Linked DNA regions of Drosophila melanogaster. The protein of the gene in region 1 purifies or fractionates together with the protein of each later gene. This does not show direct contact. Each region holds a gene or a part of one and is shown in the gene's direction. Other genes may lie near its edges. The genes, in order: raptor, mTor, Lst8 and unk.

Region 1 (5,289 bases):
GGAACTTTAGTTTTGGCGCAAAACTTTTGGCATGTGCGTTTCAGCTATTCCTTTTTTCACTATTGACATTTGCGGATTGTGGCTCCTTGGGCGCCATATGGCAGCCAAAAAGCAACGAGGAGAACCTCGATAAGCACAAATTTTAACCGAAACTCTTAGGAACAAAAACTGAGTGACCACACGAAACGAATTCAGGGGTGTTAATTATTTATTGCAATTTTAAGTTGTGTGTAAGTTTCTCGTTTTATTCTTGGACAGGATATTCAAAATGCTTCCCTTGCCAACGCTTATTCCTTTTGCGTGTTTGGCGTGCGACTAAACCATTTTTTAATCGCTTAGTTTGCCGGGCCGGTTAAAACAGAGCTTTTTGAGGCAGAAAGCTCGATTGGGCGAAGTGAACACTTGTTGAGTGGCAATGCGCTGATTTAGGCACCTGCAAATCTAACTAAATTTATTATAAAATAGTGTTAATAAAGCTTCCTGAAATGAGTAATCAACCAAGCACTTACAACTGATGCCATCGAAGATGCTATTTAAAAATACCGCCAACTGGCGGTGGAAACGGGTTTTTTTTGGCTGCCCCATGTGTTAGGGCTGCCAGCTGAGCTGATAGCCTTGCCACCTTGCGCGACTAGCACACTTGTCAATTTGTTTTTCTTTCGTGTTTATTATTTCCTAGATTTCTTTTGAGCTGGCATTTCGTTCTGTTTTTCACGTTTTAACCCCGTTTTTCGGTAAACCTCGTTTCTAATCTCGTGACAAGTTTTTCCACCGCCCGGAAAGATGCTAAGCCAATTTTACTGCTTGTTTTTGTTGCTCCTCCACTTCTTCGTGGGCGTGACGTTGTCTGAAGAGGGGGAGTGCCGCCGCCTTAATCGCGCAGATATCGAGGGCAGACTGTCCACAAAGACGCCCTACAGAGCGATCGCAAATTATGACGAAACGCCACCGAAATACGCCGGTTTGTATTTTTGTTGTTTTCTGTGTAACGCACCCACAGTAGGCACCCGCTTAGAAATACAAACATGTGTTGTGCCATGTGACAGTTAACAGCGCTCGCTTAATACAGTGAATTCATAATCATGAAAGCATATGGATTCTTTATTGATCATAAAACAGAGAATCGCTTTAGATTTGTTATTATACTATTACTAGTTTATTATTACCGATGCCTACTGCTAGCAAATGGCAATGGAACAGCTGATTTTTCTCTTTTAACCGTTTCACCCGACAAGGCTGCCATCCGACGCGAATTTGGACCATCATCCGACACGGAACTAGAAATCCTAGCGAATCCGTTATCCTTCAGGCGCAAAATCGACTATCAGAGATAAAGAAACGCATTCTGGATCAGACGAAGCCGCCGATCTGCACCGCTGAATTGGAAAAGCTGCGCCAATGGCACTGGATGCATCTGAATGCCACTGAAGATGAGAAATTACTGGTGGCCGAGGGTGAGGATGAGCTGATTGAGCTGGCGGAACGGATGCAGCGGCGATTTCCGGATCTACTTCCGGAGTTGTACAATCCGGAGTGGTACTACTTCAAGTATACTGCGACCCAGAGAACGCTGAAAAGTGCGGAAAGCTTCGCTACGGGTTTGTTCGGCCGTCATCGCATCCATACTGTACGATATCCGCCGCCTTTGCACGAGGATCCTGTTTTGCGGGTGAGCAGTCCTTTAGTTTTTTCTGTCAATGTAACCAAAACAAACTTTTGAATTACGCGCTACAAATGAGCTTGTAATGATCTGGCAACGCCATTCATTACAGCTAGGCCATTTCGCTGTTAGTTTATTATCGATATCAATGTTGTAAACCGCTTGCCAGCGTGCAATCGAAAAAATCATCGATTTTTGTTCCAGCTCTATTTTCTGCGCAATTCTTTTCGTATAATATAATTCGATTAAACATAAATAAATAAACCCAAGCGAAAGTAAATAAACCTGTTAATGCGCACCATCTTCCGTCGGAGATCGCTCGCTATAGTTGTACGGTTTTTATTTTGTCCCGGCATCGACCTAATCAGCCCAGGCGGCGTGTTTTCCCCGAGTTCTTTTTACCCGTTTTCGGGAAATGGTCCGCGATCCGTAGGCGGAAAACGTGGAGAAGAGGAACGTGGAAAGAAAAGCAGAAAAGCGCGGAGCGGAGCTGAGGAGGCGCTGGCGGTGGTGGAGGTGCGGAAAGTGCGAAAAGTGTTTGGGGTTATGTGCTAGAGTCCCCTCGGGGGGATTTTTAGCTGATTGAATCCGCGACCGAGACGTAATCGCTCCGGGAAATCGCTCGCATTGAGCTGCACCCTCTCCTCGGCAAACGGAAAAAGAAAAAAAGCAATACAGCGAGAAACGAGAGAAACAAAAAGCACGCAGAACATGACAAGTGCCGTTCGCGCTAAGTCCGCCGCTGCCGCAGTCGGCGTCGCAGTCGACGAAAGCAGCGGCAGCAGCAACGGCAGCGTCGCGGATCAAGAGGTGGCCTCCAGCAAGGAGGCCGTCCTGAGCGTCCTAATCCGCAAGAGATACGAGAAATATGTATTCGCCCCGTGGGACGATCCGATAATCTTGATAATGGAGCAACTGGAGCACATCGAGCACTGTCGATCCGCCGCCTTGGGGAACCAGGTGGCCATCGGCCGGGACCCATCTCAGGACGACTCTCTGAACGACCTGGGTAAGGTGATTAGCAACATGAGGCAGGACCAATCACTGGTACCAATCGTGAAGCACATCGAGCAAATATCCGACATTCAGGCCTCCAACGGCCAGGAACTGGCCTCCCTCGGTTCTTTGAGGGAGCTAATCCGGACTATCAGAAAGGAATGGCCCCGGGACGACTCTATCAAACTGCGGTTGAAGGAAATACAGATCCTGGGCATGCCGCCCGCTCGGAGCTTATGCTTCGGCGAGCGTATCCGCGACGACAGGTGCCCGCTCTCCCTGCAGACTAAAAGGCACAAGGAGCGCATCCAGGCCATGATGTACGAGAGACAGCCGTGGCGCATCCGCGAGCGCATGAAGACGGCAAGTGTGGCCCTGGTTCTGTGCCTCAACATCGGCGTGGATCCGCCGGACGTGGTCAAGATCCAACCCTGCTCACGGCTAGAGTGCTGGATAGATCCCAGCTCGGTGTCCCCGCCAAAGGCCATGGAACTCATTGGAAGCAACCTGCAGATGCAGTACGAACGCTGGCAGCCAAGGGCCCGGTACAAGAAGTGCAACGATCCCACCGTGGATGACGTTAAGAAGCTCTGCACCTCCCTACGCCGGAACGCCAAGGGGGAGCGCATACTCTTCCACTACAACGGACACGGAGTGCCCAAGCCCACAGCCAACGGGGAGATCTGGGTGTTCAACAAGACCTTCACGCAGTACATCCCCCTGAGCATATTCGAGCTTATCACTTGGATGTCAGCGCCCTCCATCTACGTGTATGACTGCTCCAACGCCGGGATCATCATCAATTCGTTTCAGCCATACGCTAAACAGCACGAGGAAGAACTAGGGAAGGCGCTGGCCGCCGCCCAGCAGAGGGGTGGTGTCCAACAGTTAGTGGGCGGCTCTGGTGGTGCCGCCAACGTAGCCGCCAACCAGGTGCAGTTAACCAACCAGATGGTCAGTTACAAGAACTGTATACACCTGGCTGCCTGTGCTGCAAACGAGATTCTTCCGATGAATGCACAGCTGCCGGCGGATCTTTTCACCAGCTGTCTGACAACACCCATTAACATAGCGCTCAAGTGGTACGCCATGCAAGAAAAGCTGGGCATGGTACCGCGTATTCAGAGCGAACTGATCGACAAGATTCCAGGTAAGGTTATACCTTTACTCACCCAGGGAATGCTGTTAACCATTAAATTCTATCGCAGGCAAGGTCAACGACCGGCGCACTATGATGGGTGAGCTTAACTGGATCTTCACCGCCATTACGGACACGATAGCATGGAACACACTTCCTCGCGAGCTCTTTCAGCGCCTGTTTCGCCAGGATCTGCTGGTGGCCAGCTTGTTCCGCAATTTCCTGTTGGCCGAGCGCATTCTGCGAAGCCACGACTGCACACCAGTTTCCCTGCCTGCCCTGCCGCCTTGTTATCGCCATCCGATGTGGAAGGCCTGGGATCTGGTGGTAGATTTGGCTCTACAGCAGCTGCCGGAGATTCTCGATCACAATGCGCCGTACCGCCAGCTGCCATTCTTCGAGCACCAGCTCACGGCCTTCCAGGTTTGGCTGGACAGCGAATCGGAGTCGAGAACGCCACCGGAACAGCTGCCCATTGTGCTGCAGGTCCTACTGTCGCAGGTGCACCGTCTGAGGGCCTTGGAGCTGCTGGCTCGCTTTCTGGATCTTGGTCCGTGGGCCGTTAATCTCGCCCTGGGCGTGGGCATCTTTCCATACGTGCTTAAACTGCTGCAGAGTTCTACGCGCGAACTGCGACCCGTTTTGGTGTTCATTTGGGCCAAGATCCTGGCCGTGGATCCCAGCTGCCAGGTGGATCTGGTCAAGGAATACAAGTACTTCCTCTCCGTGCTGCAGGACACCTCCGTTTCCAAGGAGCACCGTACACTGTCCGCCTTTGTATTGTCCTCCATAGTGCACAACTTCCTGCTGGGACAGACGAGCGCGCTTCAAGGTCCCCTACTGTCTATTTGCCTTGAGCAGTTGAACGACGGAAGTTGGCTGCTGCGCCAGTGGCTAGCCATCTGTCTGGGCATGCTGTGGCAGAACTTTGAGAAGGCGCGTTGGTCGGGAGCACGCGACCTGGCGCACGAGAAGCTGTACGTACTGCTGCGGGACTCGATACCGGAAGTGAGAGCCGCTGCCGTCTTCGCCTTAGGCACATTTATTAGCTCCGTGACGGATCGTAGCGAGGAACAGGCCAATAATATCGATCGCATCATTGCCATTACCATGCTCGAAACCGTCGGCGAGGATATGTCGCCGCTGGTCCGCATGGAGCTGGCCGCCGCCCTGCAATGGATGGTGGTGCTCTTCGAGTCACAGTTCGTGGCAGTATATCTAACTGAACACATGCGCGGTCACGTCTCCGCCGCCTCGTTCGTGATGTGCCCCGATCCCCGGGATCTGACGTCTTCCACGCACAGCCTGGAGCGTCATGTGACCATTCGCAGGGGAGCCAGCTCCAGCTCCATATCCAACATGGGTGGTGCGTCAATAAGCTCGGGAACAGGATCATCCAGCAACCCTTTGGGTCGCTCGAAGAGTGGTTCTGGCAGTTCGGGTGGAAGAGGAGCAGCCGGAGCTGCGGGTGGTACTAACAGCATACCCTTTCAGT
Region 2 (5,467 bases), on another chromosome or scaffold:
GGAAAGTCACGCAGTACCTCAGACATCTCGTTACCGCGCTCGCCGCAACCGACGTAGATGATCACATCAGAGTTGGAGTACTTGGACAGGGCCTACGGGTGGTTGAAGTGCAGATTGGAAGGGATGGTCATTTAATGAGATGTAAGATGTGGATTAAGTGAATAATTTGCAACTTGCCTGCGAAATGACGGTCTTGCCGCAGCCAAAGGCACCGGGGATGGCAGTGGTGCCGCCCTGTACGCAGGGGAAGAGCGAGTCAAGGACGCGTTGGCCCGTGAAGAGCGGATGGTTGGCTGGCAGCTTCTCTGTGACGGGACGTGGCTGCCGCACTGGCCAGACCTGCAACATGGTGTGCTTGGTTATCTCGCCGTCGAACTCCGTCTCCAGGACAATGTCCTCCAGGTTGTAGTTGCCCGCGGGGGCAATGTATCGAACGGTTCCCTTAGCCCTGGGTGCCACAATCATGCGCTGCTTCACCAGCGTGTTCTCGTGTACCACTCCATACAGATCTCCTCCGGTGATGTGGGATCCCACCCGCACATTCAGCGGATTAAATTCCCACATCTCCGAGCGCGACAAAGCAGTTGTGTTGACACCTTTGGGTATATAGATGGAGTTGGTCATGACACCAATGTCCCGCAAAGGACGTTGGATGCCGTCGAAGATGCTGCCCATAATGCCGGGTCCAAGTTCCACGGAAAGAGGTTTGCCGGTACGCAGCACCGGATCGCCGACAGTCACGCCAGAGGTCTCCTCGTACACCTGGATGGTGGCCATGTCGCCCTCCAGACGGATGATCTCGCCCACCAGCTCGTAGTAGCCGACGCGGACCAACTCGTACATAGCTGATCCAGACATGGCCTCAGCGGTGACCACTGAAGTGGATTTAAAGTTGTTGAAGGAGGAAAAGCAGGAGAAATATGATTAGCAAGGAGTGGAGAGAGCAGCATAATGAGGAAGATTATGCGGAACAGGAGGAGGGGGAAGAAAGCATACAGAAATATGAAAAGGAGAAGGATAATAAGGAAGGATAAAAAGGAAGATGTGGAGGAGTATAATTAAGAACAGAAGAAAGGCAGGATTAAGGATTACAGAACTTGGGGGTCAGCGCATGAAGGACGCTGGTGACGTCGCTTACCTGGTCCGGATACCGCGTAGACACGGCCATATTCCGACTCGCGCTCCTCGTCTTTGAATTTCCTCAAGTTGGACATGGTCGCGGTTGCTGCTCTTCTTCTTCTGCTTCGGTAACGGTCAAATCGTTCGTTGGCTGTGGGAAAAAGTAACCGTTTTTCTTATAAACAAAAACACGCATTTTCCATGCCCCCGAATGAGAGAGCGTTTTCCGCGAGGAAACGCATAGGTGGCGCTGATGTGCAGCAGCAGCCCCCAGTGAAAAGCTTCACACCCCCGCAGCACAGCATCGATTTTCCAATACAATTTTCACACATGCCACCAACGGCAAGGTGAATTTTCCACCTTTTACCCATCACAAAAGCAATTTTCACACTTTCTTTTCATTCAACACCTTGTGGTCAGTGGTTTTGTGGCGTAAAAACTGCTTTTTCAGCTGCTCTAAAATTAAATAAGCTCACATTTGTTTCAACAGCTCTTATGAAAATTCTCTTGCTTTTTTGATTTCACTCTAGTATTGATCTATCGGTTATCGTCGAGGGCTCCAGGTTCTCTATAGAGATGGGCTCACATCAAACTCACGCACGTCACGATACATTAATAGTCGGATTCCACTAGCACATTCCGCAGTTAAATCTTGAAATACTTGTTGGTAATTATTAAAAATTTAACATAAGCTTGCATTTTTGTGCTATTTTCCAAATTCTTCAATGCAACTTGTTCACTCCAGTAATATAAATGTTTTGTACCACAACTTTAAGCCAATTTCTTTTTAATTGCTTATAATAAAGAACAAATTTATTAATTACTTTATTATTTTTATTTAATATGTTCTCTAACATTTTAAATGCTTATAAGTCGCCGCCAAGTACAGAAGTATCAGCAAGAAAATATCGATTGTAAATTGATCGAATTCTGTTTTACATCACTAATCGGCAGCGGCTGCAATAAATTTCCGTAAAAACCGAAGTAATCCGCAATTAAAGAAAGCAAAGGACCTGCATCCGTGTGAGATCGTTCGGCACCGGTGCCGGCACATGAAATCCTATCGAGTGACCAGTGGAACAGTGCGTACAGCGCCCCGGGGCAACTGAAAAGATAACCTCCAAAGTCCGTAGACAGCAGGCAGATGCACCTGCTCCACCCTTTCCCCTCCCAAATGCAAGTGAAAATCGCGTTTAAATAGTGAATAAACCCTGCCCAGCCATGTCGACGACGTCGGTGGTGCAGCAGTTCGTCAACGGGCTTAAGTCCCGCAACCGGAATGTACAGAACAAGGCAACCCAGGATCTGCTCTTCTATGTGAAGACCGAGCTACGCGAAATGTCCCAGGAGGAGCTGGCCCAATTTTTCGACGAGTTCGACCATCACATTTTCACGATGGTGAATGCGACAGATATCAACGAGAAAAAAGGCGGTGCCCTGGCCATGAGTGAGTTCCTGGCTCCCCGGCAGTGCTTGAGAGGATTTAACGTCTTCCCTTTCAGAGTGCCTGATTAACTGCGAGGGCAGTCTTACTGCCAGGAAGGGCATTTCGCCCTATCTCAACCGCCTGCGCGATCTTCTGCTAATCAACGATGTGTCCGTCATGGAGATTGCCGCCCGCTCCCTGGTCAAATTGGCCAACATGCCCACCTCCAAGGGCGCCGATTCCTTCGACTTTGATATTAAGAAGGCTTTTGAGGTGCTCAGAGGCGAGAGACAAGAGGTGAATTATAAGGGAAACCTACAAATTAAGCTTTTAAGTCTGATTTTGAGATGAAGATGGAAAAACTTTATAATGAAAATGAAAATAGTAGTTGTAAGCATGGCTAGAGTTATCCAAATTCATTTATATATTATTTTTTTCAGTACCGCCGCCATTCAGCCGTCTTTATCCTCCGTGAGCTGGCTATCGCCTTGCCCACATACTTCTACCAGCACATCCTGACCTTCTTCGAGGTTATCTTTAACGCCATCTTCGATCCCAAACCTGCTATACGAGAGTCAGCTGGCGAGGCTTTGAGGGCGGCTTTGATTGTCACCGCTCAGCGAGAGAGCACCAAGCAGTCCAGTGAACCACAGTGGTACAGAATCTGCTATGACGAGGCGAATGGAAGCTTCAATGCAGACTTGGGCTCTAGCAAGGATCAGAAAGGCGTGACCCGAGACGATCGCATTCACGGTGGCCTCGTCGTCTTCAACGAGCTCTTTCGCTGTGCCAATGCCACCTGGGAGCGGCGCTACACGTCTCTGAAGACGCTGTTCCCCAAGACCCAACACAATAAGTTCCTGGAGGCCAGCAGTTCGTCGAGTATGGGTTCCCAGCTGAATACTCTAGTGCCGCGGCTAAAGGTGCCCTTCATTGACAAGCTCGGCAGCACCCAAACGCATTTGGGTGAGGGAGAGCATCACAAAGGAGTTGCCAAGTTCGCGAGCGTGAGTCTAACGATCAAATACCTCCACACACGAATGTATTTGTCATTTTCATTTATTTACCTTTTGGTTTACGTAGTATGTACTTTACATGTATCTAAAAACCAAGCGATGCCTGACGGGAGGAAATCAGCTGACCTAATTATAGTTTAAAAATTGTGTAAAATGTAGCAGTAGAGTGTGATTCGTTACCAGTAGTAATTGTGGGGCGGCAATCATTTAGACAAGCATGTTTGTATTAAAATAGTATATTTTCCATTTGTTCATTACAAAAAAGATATTTTAATGTTTGTTAATTTAAAATACAAACTATTTAGTTATGTTTAAGCAAGTAACTAATAATATCGACATCCAGCAGCACAACGTACTGGAGTCCGCATATGCTCAGGAGATCCTTCAGGAGCACTACACCTCCATTTGCGACAATGTTTTGGAGCAGCGAACTTCGAAGTCTCCGTATGTACAGCAGGCACTCCTTCAAATACTTCCTCGATTGGCTGCCTTTAACCGCGCGGTGTTTGTGGAAAAATACCTGCAGACATGCGTGTCGCATTTAATGCAGATCCTGCGAGGCAAGGAGAAGGATCGCACGGTGGCGTACATAACCATTGGTTACATGGCTGTAGCGGTGCAGAGTGCGATCGAAGTTCATTTATCCAGTATAATGACTAGCGTGAAGGTCGCCTTGCCGTCAAAGGATTTGACCAGCAAACGAAAGGTACCAGTGGATCCTGCGGTCTTTGCCTGCATAACGCTTCTTGCTCATGCCGTTAAGTCGGAGATCGCCGACGATGTTAAGGATATCCTTGAGCAGATGTTCTACACGGGTCTCTCGCCAGCTCTGACTGTTTGCCTGAGGGAACTCTCCGAGAATGTGCCGCAGCTTAAGTCGGCCATTACAGAAGGATTGATCGGAATCCTATCCCAGGTGCTGATGAACAAGGCGGCAATTTTACCATACACTGCTTTGCCAACGATCGCCATCGATGGCTCGCTAATGCAGAATGGTGACGGAGCAACCACAGTGCTGGCACTCAAAACGCTGGGTACCTTCAACTTTGAGGAGCAAAACATGCTGGACTTTGTGCAACGGTAATTTAATTTAATTTACTATATTTTAGTTATATTACAAGGTTTGATTTCTTTTTCAGATGTGCTGACTACTTCATCGTTCACGAGCAGCAGGAGATTCGTCTGGAGGCAGTGCAAACATGCACACGACTCCTTAAACTGGCAGTGCAATCCTCTGAAAGTATGGAGAACTCCAAGACCCTCAGCGACACCGTTTCCCACGTGATTGAGCGCCTGCTTATGGTAGCCATTACTGATATGGACTGTAATGTGCGAATACGAATTCTACGTTCGCTGGACGAGACCTTTGATGGGAAGCTTGCTCAGCCAGAGTCTCTAAATTCGCTATTTATTACGCTGCACGATGAAATCTTTGAGATCCGGGAGCTGGCAATGGTTACCATTGGAAGATTGTCGTCCATAAACCCGGCTTATGTGATGCCCAAGCTAAGAACCACCATGATCGAATTGATCACGGATCTAAAGTACTCGGGAATGAGTCGAAACAAGGAGCAGAGCGCAAAGATGCTTGACCATTTGGTGATAAGCACGCCCAGGCTAATATCCTCTTACATGAATCCGATCCTCAAAGCCTTAGTGCCCAAGTTGCATGAGCCGGAATCGAATCCAGGAGTTATTTTAAATGTGCTTCGCACAATTGGTGATTTAGCAGAGGTTAATGGAGGCTCCGATGAAATGGAATTGTGGGCAGATGACCTTCTGTCCATTTTACTCGAAATGCTGGGCGACGCTGGCAGTCCGGATAAGCGAGGAGTGGCTCTGTGGACGTTGGGACAGTTAATCAGTGCAACAGGCAGGGTGGTTACCCCATATCACAAGTACCCCG
Region 3 (3,891 bases), 3.5 Mb from region 1:
CCTGGATCGTCTGGGTTTCCTGGAGATCGAGACGCCCATGATGAACATGATCGCCGGTGGAGCCACTGCCAAGCCCTTCGTGACGCATCACAATGACCTCAAGATGGATCTGTTCATGCGCATTGCTCCGGAGCTGTATCACAAGATGCTGGTGGTGGGTGGACTCGATCGTGTGTACGAGATCGGACGGCAGTTCCGCAACGAGGGCATCGACCTCACCCACAATCCTGAATTCACCACGTGCGAGTTCTACATGGCGTATGCCGACTACGCTGACATTATGGATATCACCGAGCAGTTGGTCTCGGGAATGGTGAAAGCGATCCGTGGCTCCTACAAGGTCATCTATCATCCGGAGGGTCCAGAGGGACCTGAGCAAGAACTTGACTTTACGCCGCCCTTTAAGCGCGTATCCATGATCAAAACGCTGGAAGAGAAGCTGCAGGTGAAGTTCCCCGCGGCCGACACCTTCAATTCGCCAGAGACGAATCAGTTCCTGTCTCAGCTGTGCGCTAAGCACCAGGTCGAGTGCCCAGCTCCGCGCACCACTGCCCGCCTGCTGGACAAGCTCGTCGGCGAATTCATCGAGGAGTTTTGCGTGAATCCAACGTTCATCTGTGAGCATCCGCAGATCATGTCGCCGCTGGCCAAGTACCATCGCAGTATTCCCGGCCTGACGGAGCGCTTCGAACTGTTTGTGGCCAAGAAGGAGATTTGCAACGCGTATACCGAGTTGAACGATCCGGTTGTGCAGCGCGAGCGTTTCGAGCAGCAGGCCAGCGACAAGGCGGCCGGCGATGATGAGGCCCAGCTGGTCGACGAGAACTTCTGCACGTCCCTGGAGTACGGACTGCCGCCCACCGGTGGTTTTGGCATGGGCATCGATCGCCTGGCCATGTTCCTCACGGACTCCAACAACATCAAGGTGGGTCTACACTTGGTCTTTAACTTATTGCAAGCGTTGCTAAATGAGGCTTCTTTTTTTTTGTAGGAGGTTCTGCTGTTCCCCGCCATGAAACCGGAGGATGCCAACCGCACGGCAGCGGAAACTGCTCCCACCGCACAGCAGTAGATGGCCAACGCCGCTCACTCCACTCAGACCCAATCCTTGTACGTTACGCTGGTCCCGGACTAATCCCAGTTGCTAAGTTATTCAACCAATAAACATTTTTCCCAATAACCAAAGCTGCGTCAGTTTCTTTTTTTTATTTTCTGCTAATGTCCGAGTTTTGGGATAATAAATATTATTAAGATAATTCTATAATACTTTATATGGAAAATATCTCGATTATATAAACCAGGTACCGTAAATTATCAAAATTTTTCAGTTAAAATTTTTTTGATTTGACATAATTTTTGTGTTATATCTAATCTAATGATTATTTATGCGGATAAAAGAAAGACTTGATATGTAAATCAGTACGCATTTTTGTAATAAAACCTAAAATTATACTGATATCAATTAATAGTGTTTTTTGAAAACGATTTTGTTGCTGCGCTTTAGGTTTTATTCTAATAAGAATATATTTTCGCGCTTACCAGCACCGCGCCACTTATCGATAAGCGCGATAGGCGCGTATCGAGGACCAATGGACCGATAGGTCTGGTGAAATGAAAACATTGGGGCAAAAAAACGCGGAAATTGTCAATTAATCTGTGCAATCACAGGATGGGGGACCAACAGCAGCTGATCCTGGCCACCGGTGGTTATGACCACACCATTAAGGTGTGGCAGGCGCACACGGGCAACTGCATTAAGACGATGAGATTCGTGGAGACCTCGGTAGGAATAAACCGATTCGTGCATTTTCCGGTTAACGAACATGCTTTAACTTGCAGCAAGTGAATGCGCTAGACAGGACACCGGATAAGACGCGACTGGCGGCGTGCGGATACCAGTGCATCCGGCTGTACGACCTGGAGTCCAACTGCACCGCACCGGTGATCAATTTCGATGGCGTGCAAAAGAATGTGACGCGACTTGGCTTCCAAGAGGACGGCAATTGGATGTTCACCGCCGGCGAGGATCATCACGTGCGGATCTGGGACATGATTGCCGCACCGCCACACTGTTCCCGGATCTTTGATTGTGAGGCGCCGGTAAATGCCGCCTGTTTGCATCCCAACCAGGTGGAGATCGCCATGGGCTCACAAAATGGCAGCGTCTTTCTGTGGGACGTCAAGTCGGAGCGGCACGAACGCATCGTGCCCGAGGTGGACGCATCCATTCAGGATGTTGCCATCTCGCCGGATGGCAGATACTTGGCGGCGGCCAATAACAAGGGCAACTGCTACATCTGGTCGCTGACCAGTCAGGATCAGAAGATGAGCACGCTGCGGCCGAACAGGAAAATTCCGGCCCACTCTCGCTACATACTGCGCTGCAAATTCAGTCCCGATTCCAGGCTACTGCTGACGACATCCGGCGATGGCACTGTGTGCATTTGGAAGACGGATGACTTTAGCAAATGGCGCGAGCTGTGCATCGAGAACTATTGGGTGTGGGATGCCGCCTTTAGCGCCGATTCTAAATGGCTGTTCACAGCCTCATCCGACGGCATTGCACGACTGTGGAAGCTGCAGACAAAGAGTTCGATTAGGGATTATACTGGTCACACCAAGGCCATCACTGCCCTGTCCTTCAAGGACGAGATCGTGGGCAAATAGCAGTAGTTGTAGTAGTAGTAGTAGTAGCTAGCGGCTAGAGTCTAGGCACTTTGTAAGTGGCTCCTGGTGGCGGATTTTCATTTGGCTTTCCCCAAAGATTGGCCTACTAGTTTTAGTCATTCTACCAATTAGCTGGCTTAAGTCCACACAAAATGAATGGCAATTGTAATGGTTTGTTAAGCATCGCGGTTTTAGTTTCTACTCTTAATTAGACTCAATGTTTTAGTTCAGCTTACGTTTCCCAATTAGATGCATATATATAAAATGGTAATTCATAGTCTCAAAAAAATTGATATCCTTAATGTTTGAAAAACTGCCAGCAGTGCTCATTAATTCACTTCCGAACTTAATTACGATCTATCTTAAGCCAGTTAAATCAACAAATATCTCAGATGTACAATCATCCGCAAAACCGCCAACCCAGCGAGACAATCCGCCAGGAACAAATAATTTGGCATTTTTTGAAACAGTGGGGAGAGTAGCAATGAATCCATATATGGGCAACACGACAACTGAACTGAACTGAAGCATCAACTAAAACAACATCCACACAACAATTGAACAGATTAATGAGAATACCTCTGAAAATGAGCGCTTGGCTTTTGTAGCGACTTTTTCATAATTTATAAACCTTTGATACATAATTATATTACGACTAAATCGTTTGTATGCAAAATGCAATTTGAATAAAAATCTTATCAGCGTACATACACATACAATACAGAAATTGAAAAACCAAAAGTATCTTTAAGATAATGGGGAGCACAACATAGATGCGGGAAAATTGACTGTCTTTCGTTCTTTTCATTTTCCTCCTGCGCTTTCAGTGGACGGGAGCGGGTGATACTTATATGTCGGGGTATTTTAGTCCACATAGTCAATGCCTTTGGCCACAATCGATTCCTTGATGGGATCCGGATCGTCGCCCAGCTTGTAGCCCACAATGCATGTTACGTCCACGGCCTTGCCTGTCGGATTTAGCAGGAGCATCACCTGGTTGATGGGCGTGGCCGGGCGGAAGGGCTTGTGCGGCGGCATTTGGCTGTCCGTCGGCGTCAACAGGCGCACCTTGCAGGGCTGCGGAATAGAATGATAGCTTGTTAGTCCGGTCACCTCGATGACCAGTAATCTTCTCCAGCTCTGATTCGCTCACCTTCTTCACGCTGGCCTCGAACTGAAAGTCGCGCACTGGCTGGCGACTCTTGTTCTGAGCCGATATCACAA
Region 4 (8,210 bases), on another chromosome or scaffold:
TTTGTTCTAGTTGAATGAACGTGTAACAACTTGCAGTTAGTATGCTATTGGCCCGAGCGCAGCTAGTTGACTGAGTAAACAAACAGAGTTGGCAGCAAGTAAACAAATGGCCCAGAGCAACAGGTAATTTCCGTACAGCATCCTCCAGGCGCATGTGCGGAAATTGCGTTAGAATGGGCCGATAAATAGCTATCTGAAATTCAAATAGCAAGCTTTAACTAGGTGCATTTTCTTATAACTAAAATAATCTAGTTGGATGCACTTTAAAACGAACAAACCAAACAAATAATATCTTTTCAAATTTAAAGTTAAAATTTAAAAAACCGTTAGAGCGCTGCCATATTGTCAAAAAGGATAAACGAATGGCAGCCTTGCACCATCGGTAGCGCCATCTAGCGTGCATCGGTAGATACCGCCACCGAATATTTAAATATTATATATAAATATATTTGTAGCTTAATAAATATTATTTTAGCATCTAGAATCCTTAGTATTTATATCAGAATCAGTTCATCCGAGAAATACCTATCACCGCATGTTCCATCTATCAATTTCTGCTTTCACTTAAAAGTTGCCTGGCGTGTGAATTCCTACTAATAGATAGCTCGAAAATAATAATAAGTCAAAATGTCGATGATATTCAACACGGAGTATGGCTACCTGGAGGCCCTAACGCGCGGATTCAAGAACGGCATGCTAAAGCACTCGGACTATCTAAATCTGACCCAGTGTGAATCCCTCGAGGACGTAATGATCAGCATCCAGGGCACGGATTACGGTCTCATCTTTGGTGGCGAACAATCAGCGCCGTCCGTTGAGGTGATCGAAAGATGCCTTAGGGATCGTCTGCTGCAGCAATACTACTACATACGCAGTCATTCGACGGAGCCGCTGACCACCTTTATGGAGTTCATACGATATCCGTTCATGATCGATAATGTGGCGCTTCTGGTCGCTGGCCTAAACAATCACCGATCCATGAAGCGTCTGCTAAGAATGTGTCATCCGCTGGGCGAATTCGATCAACTGGGCGCCATCGAAGTGGCCTCGAATTCTGCGGAGCTCTTCGACGCCGTTCTAATTGACACGCCCATCGCTCGGTTTGTGCCACGCGATTTGCCCATGGAGTCGTTGCGTTACCTCGACGTGGAGATTGTGCGTGCCCATCTGTATCGTGCTTATTTGGAGAAATTCTACGCCTATTGCAGCCAACTGGGCGGCAATACCGCCAACGTGATGACCAATCTATTGTCCTTCGAGGCGGATCGTCGGACCATTACAATAGCTGTGAACGCTATTGGCAGTGATATCATGTAAGATATCTGTGTTGCTATGAAATTCTTCATATTATACTCATAATGCCCACCTTCCAACACTCAGACCGAAGGAGCGTCTAAAGATGTTCCCCACCTGTGGCTACCTGCCCAAAATAGCCTTGGCCTCCATGTCCACTTTAAATGATACGGATAAAATAAGGGATGTTTGCAATGTGTTCGATGGCTATGGCAAAATGTTTGACAATTTGGAGCGCGACTCGGACGGCATGATTACGCTGGAGGACCGCTTTCTCATGATGGAGGCCAAGAAGAATGTGCAGACCTTCCTGCAGCAGTACCATTTCGGGATCTTCTACTCGTTCATTAAACTTAAACAGTTGGAGGTACGCAATATCGTCTGGATTAGCGAATGCATAGCGCAGCGACAGACGGACAGAATCAACGCCTTCATTCCCATACCCTTGGACTAGAAACGCTTTTGCTTTCCTTCTTCGAAATGTTTTCCCTTTGAAATGTGTGTTATAATATATAGGCGTTGTTATAAATAAAACACATGCATAACAATTTCGCATTAATTTTGGCGCCAAATTTGTTTCGTTTGCGTCCCGGCTAACCACCCATCAACTGGGGTGTGTGTATTTGCTAACCAATCGATATGGACGATGCCGACAAAAATTATCGATATCAATCGACTTAAGGCCATGGATGCCCGACGCACCGATGTTTTTTGCACATCACTAACAACGATGTTGGCAAATGAAACGAACAAGCTGCTGCTTTCCTCGCAGCAGGAAAAACCAAATCACTACACGTAAATAGATGCTAACTAATGCAAACGATGGTTAATTTGACGTGCAACCTTTCCGCCAACCGTTTCAGCTACCTGAAGGAGTTCCGCGTGGAGCAGTGCCAGTCGTTTTTACAGCACAAGTGCAACCAGCATCGCCCCTTCGTCTGTTTCAATTGGCATTTTCAAAACCAGCGTCGGCGTCGTCCAGTGCGAAAACGCGATGGCACCTTCAACTACAGTGCGGATAACTATTGCACCAAATACGACGAGACCACTGGGATTTGTCCCGAGGGCGACGAGTGAGTAGAAATGTTGTGAAATTCATAGTTTCTGATGGCCCGTGAAAACGCTGGACGGGACGATTGCAGTGGCGGAGGATGGATGAGACAGCAATAGCGAACGACGTTGTATTTTTTTTGTTTCCTCTTTGCGCTCTCCTTCCTTCGCGATGTGTGTGTATCTCTTGTCTTCGTGTTTACAAACAAAAACCATAGTGTGTTTGTGTGCAGGGGGGTGTGGTGGGGGCGGTGGCAGGGGCCTGGCGTTGTCTGGAAAGCCAAAAGTGAAATTGTAAGTGCGTATGTGGGCGTGCTGCTTGCTGTATCTCTGTGCATGTGTATGTGTGTGCAGGCGAGGTCACCACCGTGCAAAAGTGAAAGTGATTCCAGCTCTAGTGGGCTAGCAAATTCTTATCAGCATCCGTTTTGTGGTGGTTGTTGCTCTCTTGTCGCATGTATACATGCACAGACGCTCGCATACACACAGGTACGCACAAACAAACACACGCACAGACGTAGGGCATCGCTACAAGTGTGTGCGTCATTGTTTTTATTGCGTTTCGCTTTTGCGTGTTTTCTTCTTCGTTTATTTTGATTTTCCCCCGGCAGCTTCGAAATGTACAGTTATTGTGGCTGGCGAGCTTTGGAGAAAAGCTCTGTGAAGTGTAAGAACGGGCTAAAAGTAAAACGCAATTACGCTTTGCGAGAGACAACAACAATGTCTGTTTTTATGACCCAGACTCGAGGTCCAACCTCTGACCCCGACCTCCATTCTATCCATTTATCGTTGTAGTCTCCTTACAGGGTACGAAGGTGGAAAGAAAGCGGTTTTAGTTTTGAAAGAGAAATTTCTTTTACTTATTAAAGAAATACCCTCAAACATGTATTAAAATGATGATTTTGCTGTAAATGTACAACTTTGTTGTTTTTTGTTACGGTTCTTTTTAATTAATGGGTATCATACAGTCCATTCACTTAGCCTCGTCGCCTGCTTTGACGTCACTAAAACTCCCTTTCTCCCCATTTAGATGCCCCTACTTACACCGCACTGCTGGCGACACCGAAAGGCGATACCATCTGCGCTACTACAAGACATGCATGTGCGTCCACGACACCGACAGCCGAGGATACTGCGTCAAGAATGGACTACACTGCGCCTTCGCCCACGGCATGCAGGACCAGCGCCCACCGGTTTATGACATCAAAGAGCTGGAGACCCTGCAGAACGCAGAGAGCACACTGGACAGCACTAATGCTTTGAATGCCCTGGACAAGGAGCGCAATTTGATGAACGAGGATCCCAAGTGGCAGGACACCAACTACGTGCTGGCCAATTACAAGACAGAGCCCTGCAAGCGCCCACCGCGCCTGTGCCGCCAAGGATACGCTTGTCCACAGTACCACAATAGCAAGGACAAACGTCGCTCGCCCAGAAAATACAAGTACAGGTAAGATTTCCCCTGAATTCATCCTAAAGTCAGTTTTAAACCGCGATATACCATTGTTTTAGGTCCACTCCTTGCCCCAATGTCAAGCACGGCGAGGAATGGGGAGAACCGGGCAACTGCGAGGCCGGCGATAACTGCCAGTACTGCCACACACGCACCGAGCAGCAGTTCCACCCGGAGATCTACAAGTCGACCAAGTGCAACGATGTCCAGCAGGCCGGATACTGTCCGCGCAGCGTCTTCTGCGCCTTTGCCCATGTGGAACGTAAGTATAGAGGATTCGATGAGCTAATATATAGGACTCAGCGTTGTGCTCCACAACCAGTTGTTGTAGGGATGTGTTTAGGGCCAAGTTATGATATTACAGTTCTAACTTAATGTTTGTCTTTTACTCGCCTCATCCATCAAACCGCAAATCTGTTTCCAACTATCACTCAAATCCTTTGAAAACACGTACATCAATCAATGTTTGCTTTGCCGCTCGGTGTTGCTTGTCCATGTAACTACTCCCAATCCAAATAAAGCATGTTCAATTGACGAGAAGACGCGGGATCACACGGTATACCTAAACGAGCTTATTTCCAATGCCTATCCTGATTTAAAAGCTCAGGATGCGTTTCAAAGGGTCGATAATGTACGTATTACCGAAGCAATAACACTCATCCAAATAACGCCATCGATTTGCATCGCCTAAACCTAAACGTACTACCACACATCGTTTGCCGCTCTAATCCAGCTAACCATCATCAACTAACTGCTTAACACTTTCGATAAGCCATTTAATCATGTGTCCTGCTCTCCTCGATTTTTTTCTTTTCGTTTTGTTCTCTTAGTTGTTGAACATTGATGGTAATAGCACCAATAAAATGTTGGTAGACGCTTTGGAAAACACAACAAATTTCAGCAAATTTTTAAGTTTCTCACGACCCCTGGACAGTCGTTGTGAGTATCCCAGAGTCCTGACATGCGTACGTCTAAGTTATACACTAGAAATCAGTTCTTCGTTTTGGTTGTGGACAAAGAATGTCAGCGCTTAGATAGCAAATGTCGTGACCCCTAGCCTAACTGAAATTCAATAATTTTTTGTCTTCACTCTTTGCAAGCAGCTTGCTCAATGGACGATCCGCGCGAGAACTCATTGTCGGCGAGTCTGGCCAATACTAGCTTATTAACACGTTCCTCGGCGCCAATTAACATTCCTAATACGACTCTAAGTAACTCAATTAACGGTAAGTAGTCATCAACGTCCTATGAGTGCCAACTAATTGCTAATGCTAATACTCCATTCCATTTGCACAGATTTTAACTCAGGTAGCTTTGCCGTCAACATTCCCAGCAGCTCGCTCACCTACAGTCCCACCAACCATGCCAATCTCTTCAACGTGGACGCCTTCAACTATGGCGGCTCAAACAAACTCAGCAATTCCCTTTCGGCCACCCAGAACGATAGCAGTCTCTTCTTTCCGTCGCGCATCATATCGCCTGGCTTTGGCGATGGCTTGTCGATTAGTCCTTCGGTAAGGATATCCGAATTGAATACCATACGCGACGACATCAACAGCAGCTCGGTGGGAAATAGTCTGTTCGAGAACACTCTCAATACGGCCAAGAATGCGTTTAGCCTTCAATCTCTGCAGTCGCAAAACAACAGCGACTTGGGTCGCATCACCAATGAGCTGCTCACGAAGAATGCTCAAATTCACAAGTTGAACGGACGTTTCGAGGACATGGCATGCAAGCTAAAGATCGCGGAGCTCCATCGGGACAAGGCCAAGCAGGAGGCGCAGGAGTGGAAGGAGCGCTATGACCTAGCACAGATACAGCTAAATTTGCCAGCAGAGCTTCGGGACTTGTCCATACAGAAATTGAAGCAATTGCAGGTTAGTCGCTTAATTAATTTCCCAATTCCATGGGTTTTAACCTGCTACCATTTTAGTCCAAGCTGCGCACCGACTTGGAGGAGGTCGACAAAGTATTATATTTAGAAAATGCCAAGAAGTGCATGAAGTGCGAGGAGAACAATCGCACGGTTACTCTGGAGCCGTGCAACCACCTGTCTATTTGCAATACATGCGCTGAATCGGTCACCGAGTGTCCCTACTGTCAGGTGCCGGTAATAACCACCCACACCTAGAACATGTTTTATCAGCAACAGGACCACAAGTGGCCCTTTGGCTGAAAATCGGATAGGGATGGGAAAGGGGATTCCGATGGGATATGAATGGATCATGGGGATCAAGACCGCGAACAGCATGACAATGTGGTACTCACAAAGCAAACTTTAGTCTTAAGCAAAACGTTGAAACTTTTGAACAGTTAGGATTTGACACATGCCTACTAATTGTGCATGTGGCAGGGAATATATAATTTATGTTTTCAATCTACTCAAAATATGCAAATTATCGTCATGAATATTAGTAATTACTAGGCACAAACTATTAATTGAATTAGCTAGCTGCTCTAAACGAATAAGTATGTAATTTTATTTTTGTTTATTTTTTCTCATATCGAATCGAATACAGGAAAAAACATTTTAAATTGATTTTGTACTATGATTTATGTAACCAACTCTTTTAATTTTGTTTAATATTCAATGTTTAGGCATACATATTTTCTAATCTACTGCACGAATTTGCAATGTCTCATTTATTTTTTTTTTAACCACATATGTATCTCTATATTTGTATTTAAATATGCTACACTTTCAGTCATATTGTACTTTTCACTAGTATTACATAAGAAATTATGAGAACTAAACAATTACAAGATGTAATTGAATGAAAGATATATAAATATATAATATATTAATTTTTCTAGACACTTTTAGCAATTGACTATTAACAAATTTATAGAAACCAACAAATTTAACAATATATTGTCGCATAGAAGAGCAGAAAACAACCACAAACAAACAAATACCACCAGTGATTTTATATAAGCCGATTTTCAAACTGTATTTTTTATGTATGTGTTTCAAACTTGTGAATGCAAACTACAACTAAAAGCCAAGACAATGGTCATAAAATCAATGTAACTGACGGGTAATCAATATTAGTCAGTACTCAGCTTTTATTTTCCTTTTTCAAATGCACAAAAGTAATTATAGACGTTGAAACGAGAAGTAACTAAAGGCGACAACGCTTTTCCTTATCGAAAGTTCATTTCATTTTGTCTTATTGAAAACCAAGTTGAATGTATTAAAACACTTTGATTTTTGTTTAGGCCTTGGTGCAGCTCGTGTAAGCCAATGCCAATTAACCAGTCACAAAATTATCAACTTACGTATATAATCTATTAGGTTACTTTGTGATTTGAATAGTGCTTTAAGTACTTACTTTGCAGATGACTTCAATTTTCATTTTACTTTCATAGTCTCAACTGGACGCTTCCAAATTAGTAAAAGCATAAAATGAATCGTCAATGTCAAAACGTAGTATTTAAGTCATATTAAATCCAGCATTTGGCTGATTGTACAAGAACGAATATGAACAGATATATATTTATGGGAAATTTGAACGCAGATTCGATGAGTGTGATGTTGAAAGCATAAACAATAAAAGTAACTCGATACAGCGAAATGAACAGAGTTTAATGAAAATGTTAACCAGAGTTAATGTAAAACCGTCTTCAAAAACCATTGTATTTTTCTGCGAATTAAAATTATCAAACGTAATCAATTGGACAATGTTGAATGAAACTGAAACGTGTTGTTAGCTAGTTGAGTTGAATTGATAAAGATGTAATCAAAATGAAACTGTTCTGGGAATGAATTGAATATGAATATGAAATCAACATAGGCATTTATTTGAAACAAAAGCAACACTATGAATATATATATACAAATGAAAAACTGAATTATATTATTACAAAGCTAACTAGGAAAGGCAGCGCAAAGGCTCTTATCTCTGTGTGTGTTTGTACTATGTTTTGTAGAAGCCAAATCAGCAAGAAATACAAATAATTAATAAATATAACAATAAACAATTGTGTGTTAACTTATAAATGCTTTAATAGTTTATGATACAAGTGTACACAAAAAAACTAAAAATCACGAGAACAAACAATGAGAAAATTGGTTTTATAATGGAGCTGTTGAGTCGCAAATCTATTGTGTGTATTACCAAACTAAACTGAAAACTGAATGCATACCTCTCTCAGAATATCACTGACTCTCATCACCGGAGACACAGTTTGAAAGATTTGCTAATTTACTTTATGAATCTCCACGAGATGTACATGGGATGTCTATCGAACTACGCGTTTTTTCAACCCCATTCCAAAACAAACCAATGCAAAGCAATTTTACAACATGTCAAGAAATCCATTTCACGCCATCTCAACTGTGAAGAATCAAACAGAAACCAGATCGAAAAGTATATGTACGTTACATACATATATATTTATAGATGACACATGT

Evidence for each region.
Region 2: the proteins of raptor (region 1) and mTor purify together in Drosophila melanogaster (affinity purification with western blotting; 3 studies listed by BioGRID, with this or other methods). This does not show direct contact.
Region 3: the proteins of raptor (region 1) and Lst8 purify together in Drosophila melanogaster (affinity purification with western blotting; 2 studies listed by BioGRID, with this or other methods). This does not show direct contact.
Region 4: the proteins of raptor (region 1) and unk purify together in Drosophila melanogaster (affinity purification with western blotting; 2 studies listed by BioGRID, with this or other methods). This does not show direct contact.

The regions. Positions count from the first base shown.
Region 1 is NC_004354.4:6,086,789-6,092,077, reverse strand, and holds the start of raptor (raptor), read left to right. Parts: upstream 1-1,876; 5' UTR 1,877-2,371; coding exon 2,372-3,806; intron 3,807-3,864; coding exon 3,865-5,289. Other genes in the region: Mipp2 (multiple inositol polyphosphate phosphatase 2), read left to right, coding at 784-961, 1,236-1,669.
Region 2 is NT_033779.5:13,002,446-13,007,912, forward strand, and holds the start of mTor (mechanistic target of rapamycin), read left to right. Parts: upstream 1-2,034; 5' UTR 2,035-2,340; coding exon 2,341-2,566; intron 2,567-2,621; coding exon 2,622-2,842; intron 2,843-2,985; coding exon 2,986-3,552; intron 3,553-3,904; coding exon 3,905-4,641; intron 4,642-4,700; coding exon 4,701-5,467. Other genes in the region: Vha68-1 (vacuolar H[+] ATPase 68kD subunit 1), read right to left, coding at 1-92, 178-875, 1,139-1,214. UniProt on the Drosophila melanogaster protein: Promotes cell and tissue growth, maintains tissue homeostatis and controls responses to environmental stress and aging. Regulates growth during animal development by coupling growth factor signaling to nutrient availability. Central regulators of autophagy.
Region 3 is NC_004354.4:9,603,654-9,607,544, reverse strand, and holds Lst8 (Lst8), read left to right. Parts: upstream 1-1,575; 5' UTR 1,576-1,669; coding exon 1,670-1,783; intron 1,784-1,839; coding exon 1,840-2,667; 3' UTR 2,668-3,391; downstream 3,392-3,891. Other genes in the region: LysRS (Lysyl-tRNA synthetase), read left to right, coding at 1-925, 992-1,072; Gga (Golgi-localized, gamma-adaptin ear containing, ARF binding protein), read right to left, coding at 3,532-3,744, 3,821-3,891. UniProt on the Drosophila melanogaster protein: Subunit of TORC1 and TORC2, which regulate cell growth and survival in response to nutrient and hormonal signals. Essential for TORC2-mediated regulation of cell growth and phosphorylation of Akt1.
Region 4 is NT_033777.3:23,151,657-23,159,866, reverse strand, and holds unk (unkempt), read left to right. Parts: upstream 1-2,004; 5' UTR 2,005-2,023; coding exon 2,024-2,088; intron 2,089-2,156; coding exon 2,157-2,366; intron 2,367-3,373; coding exon 3,374-3,793; intron 3,794-3,855; coding exon 3,856-4,058; intron 4,059-4,317; coding exon 4,318-4,427; intron 4,428-4,626; coding exon 4,627-4,735; intron 4,736-4,896; coding exon 4,897-5,022; intron 5,023-5,092; coding exon 5,093-5,673; intron 5,674-5,729; coding exon 5,730-5,927; 3' UTR 5,928-7,775; downstream 7,776-8,210. Other genes in the region: VhaAC39-2 (vacuolar H[+] ATPase AC39 subunit 2), read left to right, coding at 628-1,313, 1,381-1,747. UniProt on the Drosophila melanogaster protein: Essential for late larval/early pupal development.